2 linked regions of the Daphnia pulex genome follow. The protein of the gene in region 2 purifies or fractionates together with the protein of the main gene of each other region. This does not show direct contact. Links are inferred from orthologs where the notes say so. Each region holds a gene or a part of one and is shown on either strand. Other genes may lie near its edges.

What was found.
Region 1: the proteins of splicing factor 3B subunit 1-like (region 2) and U5 small nuclear ribonucleoprotein 40 kDa protein-like purify together in Homo sapiens (co-immunoprecipitation; 3 studies listed by BioGRID and IntAct, with this or other methods). This does not show direct contact. The link is inferred for Daphnia pulex from reciprocal best matches to the Homo sapiens genes SF3B1 and SNRNP40.

Annotation. Positions count from the first base shown.
Region 1 is NC_060027.1:3,203,613-3,208,531, reverse strand, and holds U5 small nuclear ribonucleoprotein 40 kDa protein-like, read left to right. Parts: upstream 1-1,264; 5' UTR 1,265-1,607; coding exon 1,608-1,685; intron 1,686-1,841; coding exon 1,842-1,971; intron 1,972-2,034; coding exon 2,035-2,208; intron 2,209-2,270; coding exon 2,271-2,479; intron 2,480-3,405; coding exon 3,406-3,609; intron 3,610-3,667; coding exon 3,668-3,833; intron 3,834-3,904; coding exon 3,905-3,957; 3' UTR 3,958-4,037; downstream 4,038-4,919. Other genes in the region: syndecan-like, read right to left, coding at 152-244. UniProt on the Homo sapiens protein: Required for pre-mRNA splicing as component of the activated spliceosome. Component of the U5 small nuclear ribonucleoprotein (snRNP) complex and the U4/U6-U5 tri-snRNP complex, building blocks of the spliceosome.
Region 2 is NC_060027.1:4,647,307-4,652,335, reverse strand, and holds the end of splicing factor 3B subunit 1-like, read left to right. Parts: coding exon 1-91; intron 92-155; coding exon 156-449; intron 450-512; coding exon 513-641; intron 642-705; coding exon 706-1,086; intron 1,087-1,145; coding exon 1,146-1,442; intron 1,443-1,506; coding exon 1,507-1,836; intron 1,837-1,905; coding exon 1,906-2,169; intron 2,170-2,231; coding exon 2,232-2,468; intron 2,469-2,529; coding exon 2,530-2,719; intron 2,720-2,786; coding exon 2,787-3,060; intron 3,061-3,124; coding exon 3,125-3,341; intron 3,342-3,402; coding exon 3,403-3,561; 3' UTR 3,562-3,635; downstream 3,636-5,029. Other genes in the region: coenzyme Q-binding protein COQ10 homolog B, mitochondrial-like, read right to left, coding at 3,715-4,177, 4,230-4,418, 4,482-4,582. UniProt on the Homo sapiens protein: Component of the 17S U2 SnRNP complex of the spliceosome, a large ribonucleoprotein complex that removes introns from transcribed pre-mRNAs.

The DNA of each region.
Region 1 (4,919 bases), about 1.4 Mb from region 2:
CACAAAACGTTAGTTTAAAAAGAACGACAAAATAAAACAAAACCCAACAAAATGTGTCGTGACAAAATTGTGAGCCTGGAATCAAGGGTGTGGGAGTTTTATGATAGTCCAGATGTGTGAAAAGATCAATAAAAAGTGGTGGCATTCTTACCTTGGCAACCGATGATGCACTGTTGATGTTACTGCTAACCGAATGTGCAGCCAAAAAGGCGATGAAAATCGCCATATGTATTCTGGGATTCATTTTTGAGAGAATTTCCTGAGCGTTTGAGAGTCTGCCTTACGTGTGTGTGAGAGGGTGGAGAGAGAGATTTTTTCAGTATTATTTATTTTAAGAGCCGGATATCCGTTTCTAAAGTTTTCTTCCAAGATTTTTGTGTTATTTCAATACAAAAGTGGAGAACGTGGTCGAATAAATTAGGATAGTTGCAGCCTTTTGTCCGTTTTTCTAATTTTCTAAACACAGACGGTGATGCTCTCAGGTCAGGCTGGGCATTTTCTTTCTTTCTTTCACACTTCTTCTCTCTCACAGGCGCGCACTCAACCACACAGTTCACTGGTGAAGCCAAAACGATGGCCGAGTTTTACTCGTCGATTCGGGGACGGAATGTTAAATATCAACAGAACAAAAAGAGTTGCCGGGAATTGGCGTGATTTCGAGACACTTCTCGATGTAACCAAAGGCCGAAATGGATTAAAAGATCCCAACTCACGCCCAGATCATCAAACACACCAGCCGAGAGCCGCCATTAAACTGAAGGGACTGGATTTTTCTTTGTGTCCCTCCGCCGCCATTGGGTACCAAAAACTCTGCCATCTGGCGGCAGTTTTCAGCTCCTCCCCACTTTCTCCTCCAACAACATAGACGTGGAAATTATACGGACGAATGTAAACCACACACACGGGAAAGAAAAGGAAAAACAAAAATCAATCTCATCATTTCCTCATCATGTTGGGAAAAAATGAATGACTCAATTTAGGTCATGGATTCAGCGCTCAAAATATCTTCATCTCGAGAGACTAGTTTTGTTCTTTCCGACGCACCAAATTTCGTTGGAATGGAAAAGAAATCCCAGACATAGCGACTATCACATATACTGGTGAAGTCGTTTTCTTGCGAGTGTTAAAAAACTAGAAGGTCCTCTGTTCTATAGTCACACGGACACACAAAACTTAAGAAAATATCGAGGGGAGAGATTTAATGTTTGTTGTTTCTCCCTCCTTCTTCTAACACTCCTTTTCTTTTTTTACGATCGTGGGTTCGCCTGTTTTCCGGCCCCAATAATACCCATTGTTTTCCAAGACTGCGCGGGTGTTCATGAAATTCCTCGAGTTACAACTTCTTTTTCCCAAAAAAAGAAAGAGAAAAAGGGTTCGGAAATTCTTGAGCGATATACCACTGTGACAGCTTTTCCCCATCTCAATTTTTATTCTTTTATTATACCAAAGTCTTTCCAAGTTTCCAACAAGATTTGGAAAAGGCGACCACTATAAAATATAGATCTAGCAAGAAAAGGCTTCTGCTCCGTCAGTAGTAGTTGTCAAAACTTTTTCACTTTTTTTTTCTACAACTTGAAAATTTTCTTAAAAGTCTAGAAGCCGGAGCAATGGCGCTTGTGTCAGTAAACAATCCCAGCAATAATGAATTGGTGTCGGCCACCTCGGGTCAAGTGGCCCTGCAACAGGTTTGATTTATTTGTGTTTTATTTATAAACTTTTAAATGAGCCGAATGCATCACAAAAGAGAATTGCATCCAACCACATGCTGACCAGCTTGTGTGTTTTGTTGTTGTAGATGCTATGATGAATTCAAATGTGATATTGACTTTTTCAATAAACAGGGACCAGCAAGAACGTCTAGCCTCATGGCTCCTATAATGCTCCTGGCAGGACATCCTGGAGATATCTTTAGCCTGAAGTTCCATCCTGACGGCCAGTTTTTGGTTTCCACCGGGTTCGACAGACAAATATGTAAGCATCATATATACATTTGAGCATCTCTACTGTTTGGATAATCAACCTCTTGTTCAACAGTTTTGTGGAATGTTTATGGAGAGTGTGAAAACTTTGCTGTGTTGTCTGGTCACACCGGAGCAGTAATGGATCTTCAGCTGTCTACCGATGGTGATACCATTTACACTGCTAGTACAGACAAAACCATTTGTTTGTGGGACACCAGAACAGGAGCTAAAATCAAGAAACTGAAAGGTATACCATTGTCACTGTCCCATTATTTAGCAATTGAACCCAACAACAATTTGTTTCAACAGGCCACTCCTCCTTTGTCAATGCTATTCATCCTGCACGAAGAGGACCTCCTCTTCTCTGCAGCGCCTCAGATGACTGCAACATCAAAGTCTGGGATCCAAGAAAAAGAACCGAGACAGTATCATTAGATAATTCTTACCAAGCGACTTCCGTCACCTTCAACGATACCGCCGAACAAGTCATTTCCGCAGGCATCGACAACGATGTTAAGGTGAGTTCGCAAAATTCAATTGTTGTAATAGAGAGAGAGAGAGAGAGAAGAAAAACTATGGGACCAATTTCCAAGAATTTGAATTAAGCCACCGATTCGGCGAACTTCATATTCCGTGTGAGTGGGAGAAAGTCACAAACTTGAGTATTTTTCTTACAGAATTGATTAAAGTTCTCAGTATTTTTACTTGATGGCTTCAAGAGAATAGTTTGGCAAAAAAGGAAGGACCTGCAGTCATATTCTGTCTTTGTTGTAAAAACTAAAGTTTCGACATTGTTGATTGTTTTCTACTTAATATTGAACCATATTCGTGCAAGTTCTGTCTTACCCTATCATCGAGTTCATTTTCCTTGAAGAGTGCAAGGGATTTCAACTTTGGTATTCTGATTATCGCGTGTCTCACCTTGATAAGGTCACCAAGTCCTTCCTTACTTCCAGGGCCCCTTCTCTTTGATATATGAATGGGTTCACTAATGTAAGCTCGTAGGCGAAGTTTTTAAAATTAATTCAAGTAATTTCAGCAGTAGGGTCTCGTCAAATGTCCTAATTCCATCCTAATTACTGAAGATGCGCATTTTTGTGTTTTGTCAGTTTGAGGCAAATGTGAAACGCTGGAAGCGGATTCTGATACTTCTTTGCTTGTCAGATGGTTGCACATTATCGATCAAAACTTTTCCCCGTAATACTTATGACAATTTTGCGACATCTTTAGGAAGAATTTACTCTGAAAAATAGATAATTTTCACTTTTTATCGATTATCTTTTCGTTCGAACTAAACCCATGTTAAGTTTTCTCCTTTTTTTGGAAGATATTCATTTTAAAACCTGAAAAGTAGTTTTGCATTTGCGATATTTCAACTGGTCCTGGCCTTGAGCTATTCACGTGAATATGGAGAGATAGGTAAATCATACACTTTCCTTTTTAGGTCTGGGACTTGAGAAAAAATGCTCTCCTCTACTCCTTGAAGGGCCATTCCGACACTGTGACCGGCTTGACTCTCAGTCCTGATGGATCTTACGTGTTGTCAAACTCGATGGACAACTCTTTACGTGTCTGGGATGTACGACCTTTCGCTCCTCAAGAACGTTGTATCAAAATGATGGTTGGCCATGCTCACAACTTTGAAAAGGTATATACAATGCCGGCGAATTTCTCAATCCATTCTAATACCTTGTGTAATGTTATAGAATTTACTTCGCTGCTCATGGTCACCTGACGGAACCAAAGTTTCAGCGGGATCTGCCGACCGATTCGTTTACATTTGGGACACTACATCTCGCCGCATCATTTACAAATTACCTGGTCACAACGGAAGTGTCAATGACGTTGTATTTCATCCTAAGGAACCTATTGGTAATTTACGCAGCAAATCAACATCAAGGACATCAATTAATTTCAGATTTTTTATTTTGAATGAAACATAGTTGCATCCGGTGCCAGTGACAAGCTGATTTACCTAGGCGAAATTGACGCTTAATTAGGAAAGGTTATAATTTTTTTCAGTTGAAACGATGGCAAGGATCGAGGACGAATAAACAAATAATTCTTTTACGCATATTTACAAAATTGCATTTAAATTAATCGACATTTAAAGGCCAAAAAAAACTTAATTGGATTGTTTGCTCGTTCTCGAGTCCATTTAGAGATCATCACGTTAAGAAAATGCAATTATGAATGGAAAAACTAGGAAGAAAAGGTTAGCTAGGTACGAATAATGTTAACGGCACGTGAGAAAAATCAATGGATGAAGTGCCATCCTCTGATCAAGTGATGACTTGCGAGAAGGTGTTTCAAAAGTGTCTGAGTGCTATTGTTCTGTCACGTCTTCGCAGTGACAAAGATAGCGGAAGTGTCCTCCTTAGCGCTTTAGAGAATTCAGTACTCCTGAGAATGTAGAGCAAAGGGCTAATGACTGCGTGCAACAGATGCAGTTCACGTACGTATGGAATGAGTGCCGTGAATGTTGAATCGCTGCATTGGCGTGGATTCATTTGACAGATAACGATGGCCAGGAAAACAAAAGTTAATGGCAAAGCGAAGAGAATTAGCGGAACTATTCCAGACACGAGAGTGACGCTCGCTTCCAATTCTAAACGAGAAATAGTTTTATCTGGCAAATGCACAAAGTGCTCATCCGGTTTGAGTACAGCGTTTGTTGTCGGTAGGAGCGTTTTAAAGCGTAAATAATGACGAGTTCTAACATACACGACGACTTGCGCAACAGTTATGATGCCAACCAGGACGAAATGAGAAAACGTCACCCACTTCACCACAGACACTTCAACGGAACATACGGGAAACTGAATTTTGCCTAACCAATAGGGACTAGTTTGCATGAGCAACACCACAATCCAAGACGTGATGATAAACATGACCACTCCGACGACGGTGATTCGTCTTTGATGCCAAATAGGATAACTTATGGCGATCCAGCGGTCG
Region 2 (5,029 bases):
GGGTGGAGCTACTCCAATCGGACAAAAAGCTATGGCCATGGCTACCCCAACTCCAGGACACCTTGTTACCATGACTCCTGAACAACTACAAGTAATCAGTGCATTATCCGTTTTGATGTTCAATATGTAACCCACAATGAAATTTATCGAAATAGGCATACCGATGGGAAAGAGAAATCGACGAAAGAAACCGCCCAATTGGAGATGATGAACTAGACGGGATGTTTCCAGAAGGCTACAAGGTCCTGCCTCCTCCAGCTGGATACATTCCTCTACGTACCCCGGCGCGCAAATTAACTGCAACTCCCACTCCATTAGCTGGGGCCAATTCGGGATTCTACATGCAACAAGAAGATAAAACTGCCTCAAAATACATGGACACACAACCCAAAGGCGGTAACTTGCCCTTTTTGAAGCCAGAAGATGCCCAATATTTTGACAAGCTATTGGTAATTATACTTAACTATTTCTTTTAAGTAAAATTAAAAAGTTTTTACTCTATTATTTTGCAGATTGATGTTGATGAAGATTCATTGAGCCCAGAAGAGCTTAAAGAACGAAAAATCATGACTCTTTTACTTAAAATCAAGAACGGTACCCCACCTATGCGTAAATCTGCATTAAGACAAATCACTGATAAGGTAAACTGATATATATTATTTTAAAGTAATTGTATCTTCAAACTGCGTTTATGTTTTTCAATAGGCTAGAGAATTCGGAGCTGGTCCACTTTTCAATCAGATCCTTCCTTTATTGATGTCTCCTACCCTTGAAGACCAAGAGCGACATTTGCTCGTTAAAGTTATCGATCGCATTCTCTACAAATTGGATGATCTAGTGCGTCCATACGTCCACAAAATCCTTGTCGTTATTGAACCGCTGCTAATCGACGAAGACTATTATGCTCGTGTTGAAGGTCGAGAAATCATCTCTAATTTAGCCAAAGCAGCTGGTTTAGCAACTATGATTTCTACCATGAGACCTGATATCGATAACATTGATGAATATGTTCGTAACACTACTGCAAGAGCTTTTGCTGTGGTAGCTTCTGCACTGGGAATTCCTTCCCTTCTTCCCTTTCTAAAGGTATATAGTTTGTTTCAGTTTTAAGATGGGCTTGTTCTTATCTATTATTTTTATTTTAGGCCGTTTGCAAGAGTAAAAAGTCATGGCAAGCTCGCCATACTGGCATCAAAATCGTCCAACAAATTGCTATTCTTATGGGATGTGCTATTTTACCTCACTTGCGAAATCTGGTTGAGATCATTGAACATGGATTGGTAGATGAGCAACAGAAAGTGCGCACCATCACTGCCTTGTCCATTGCTGCGCTGGCAGAAGCCGCGACTCCGTACGGTATTGAGAGCTTTGACTCTGTTTTAAAACCGTTGTGGAAGGGTATAAGAACTCATCGTGGTAAGGGATTGGCTGCTTTCCTTAAGGTATGTTAATTGAAAGTAAAATATTATCCTGCATACTGTAATATTATTTGTTTAAAAAAAATAGGCTATTGGCTATTTGATTCCTCTCATGGATGCCGAATACGCCAATTATTACACTCGCGAAGTGATGTTAATTTTAATTCGCGAGTTTCAGTCACCTGACGAAGAAATGAAAAAGATTGTACTTAAAGTGGTGAAACAGTGTTGCGCAACTGACGGTGTGGAACCTCAGTATATTAAAACAGAAATTTTGCCACATTTCTTCAAAAGTTTCTGGAATCATAGAATGGCATTAGATAGACGTAACTATCGCCAGCTAGTTGACACAACAGTTGAAATCGCTAATCGTGTTGGTGCAGCGGAAATTATTGGCCGAGTGGTTGACGATTTAAAGGTTTTATTCATTTTCATTATTTATAATTCAGTGACAGTCAAATAACATGTTGAATATTTTTCCTAACAGGACGAAAATGAACAATACCGGAAAATGGTTATGGAAACGGTCGAAAAGATCATGGGTAATCTTGGTGCCGCTGATATCGACGCTCGCTTGGAAGAGCAGCTCATCGACGGTATTCTCTACGCATTTCAGGAACAAACGACTGAAGATGTTGTGATGCTAAATGGATTCGGTACAATCGTGAACTCACTTTCCAAACGAGTTAAACCTTATTTGCCACAAATTTGTGGTACTATTTTATGGCGTTTGAACAACAAATCAGCAAAAGTAATGTTATACAACTTTTATTTGTAAACGTTCGTTTTAATATAATGATTTTTATTCCATAGGTTCGGCAACAAGCTGCTGATTTGATTAGCCGTATTGCAGCAGTAATGAAAACTTGTCAGGAAGAAAAGCTCATGGGGCATCTGGGAGTTGTTCTCTATGAATATCTTGGCGAAGAGTACCCTGAAGTTCTTGGGTCTATTTTAGCTGCTCTTAAAGCTATTGTTAACGTAATTGGCATGCACAAGATGACACCGCCAATCAAAGATTTACTTCCCCGATTAACACCTATTTTGAAGGTTCGCTTTTTTAACATATCAGTAATTTATTTTTCTTATTGTGGTTTTATTATCATTTTAGAATCGGCATGAAAAAGTACAGGAAAATTGCATCGATTTGGTTGGGCGTATTGCCGATCGTGGGCCAGAGTACGTTTCAGCTCGAGAGTGGATGCGCATTTGTTTTGAGCTTTTAGAACTCTTGAAAGCACACAAGAAAGCCATTCGACGAGCTACAGTCAACACTTTTGGTTATATCGCCAAAGCAATTGGTGAGACCGAAATTGTCATGGTTATTATGTACAATATAATTATTTATTTTTCAACAACAAATTTCAGGCCCACACGATGTATTGGCTACACTGCTTAATAATTTGAAGGTACAGGAGCGCCAAAATCGTGTTTGTACAACCGTTGCCATTGCAATTGTGGCTGAAACTTGTTCGCCCTTCACCGTCCTCCCTGGTCTTATGAACGAATATAGAGTCCCGGAACTTAATGTTCAAAATGGTGTTTTGAAGTCGATGTCATTCTTGTTCGAGTACATTGGCGAGATGGGGAAGGATTACATTTATTCAGTTACATCGCTCTTAGAAGACGCTTTGATGGATCGGTAAGTTTCTAGTTATTTTGAATTTATGATTAATTAGTTAATGAAGCACATCTGTTTATTTTAGTGACCTGGTCCATCGTCAAACTGCTTGTGCAGCCATCAAGCACATGGCTTTGGGTGTTTTCGGCTTTGGTTGTGAAGATGCCCTCACACACCTGTTGAACTACGTTTGGCCCAATATTTTTGAAACATCCCCTCATTTGGTTCAAGCTTTTATGGATGCTGTGGAGGGTATGAGAGTAGCCCTGGGCCCTATTAAAGTCTTACAATACGCACTGCAGGTAACTTAATTATTTGATTGAATTAGAATTTCAGTTTTAAACCATTTTCTTTTCTATATAGGGTCTGTTTCATCCGGCCCGGAAAGTTCGTGACGTGTATTGGAAGATTTACAACTCACTATACATCGGCGGTCAAGATTCACTGGTGTGTGGGTACCCTCGAGTGTCCAACGAAGGGAAAAACACTTTTAATCGTTATGAACTCGATTATGTATTGTAATTCACTTTCTGTACTACATTTTTACACAAGTTTCATGTACTGATTTCATTAAAAATAAACTCACTTGAGCCGTCGCAATTCGTGTAATGTCATCAAATTTAGATACAATATTATTTAACATTTCAATTTAGCTAGTGATTATTGATTAAGTCATTAGGCGTGTGTAGATAACATCTGTGGCCTTTGACCATTAATTGACGCTGGTCCGTAACGTCTCCTAGCCTCTGTCAAAAATGCAGTAACCATTTGCCTAACAACCTGATCAAAAAAAACATGTGACAGTTGAGAGTGAAGTACAGACCGAAATTCAAAGGAAATGGAAAAATCCAATGTGCAACTTTTAGGATTTCCCTTTAGTCCAGGACTGAATTTCCAAATAGTAAGAAGATGGTTGAATAGCTTCCCTTCTGAACACACAGACTTCACCATGTTTGGTGGGGTAAGCATGACACTGCTTGTATAGCTTTCTACTAACAAAGGAGGAAAGCCAATTGCTAAATCAGCTCTAAGATGACCAGTAGTTCGTGAGGTAACTACAGAGCTTTTGCAATATGGAACAAAATTTTTGTAATTCTCCACCTCGGCCACAACATTGTACATTTGTTCCATTGAATACCTAGAAAGTTCATTTTTAATTTCTATTGCAAAATTAATTTGTTTTATATTACCCCAACAACCTTCTTTCAGAATAGTCTTTTCTTTTGTTTCCAATTCCTAGTCCAGGCAACTGAAAACCACGACTAGGAATAGCTAGGTCAATTGCTCCATAACTTGAGTTACTTGACGAAACTACTCTTGGACAAGCAGAATGGCTTCCAGTATATTGTAATGCACTACATTGAATTACAGTTAACTTCCTGCATAAAAGAGAGGTTACACAATGTAATCCAAACTGTATGAAGAGATTAAAGATTATTTACCTAGATAAGGTAATGAAATTTCTATGCGCATGAAACATCTTGCACCAGCTACGACGAGCGGGTCTTGCAATGGCAATGAAAGGCAGCGTGAAACTTGACATTTCTAGTATTAGAAATGATTGAAATCAATCCGAATTTTTTACTCCATCATACCGAATTGATTGAATAACATAAAAACATATGAATGGTTGCAGACGACTTCGCAAGAGTTATCTTAGTGAAAAGTGATTTCAGGCATTGCCGGTTTTCTCTTTTTTCTTGGCGTTAAAAGCGCCCCCCCCCCCCCCATCCTGAACCATTTATTTGAATTTTTGAGCGTTTTTAATGGTATTTATTTGTGGTATCAGAGATGAAGTGAGCTTTTAGGATTTGACTGCCGAATATTTTTAGGCAACGAGTTTTTAAAAGTGGAAGAGGTTATCAAAAGCGTATCCGGACTCTTTAAATAAAAAACAAATATAAAAAAAGGAAGGAGAATGAGGTTATAGCTAATGTCTGCTGCAGGCAATTTTTTTATCTACTATATCTAGCGGATTCAGTGACCGTTA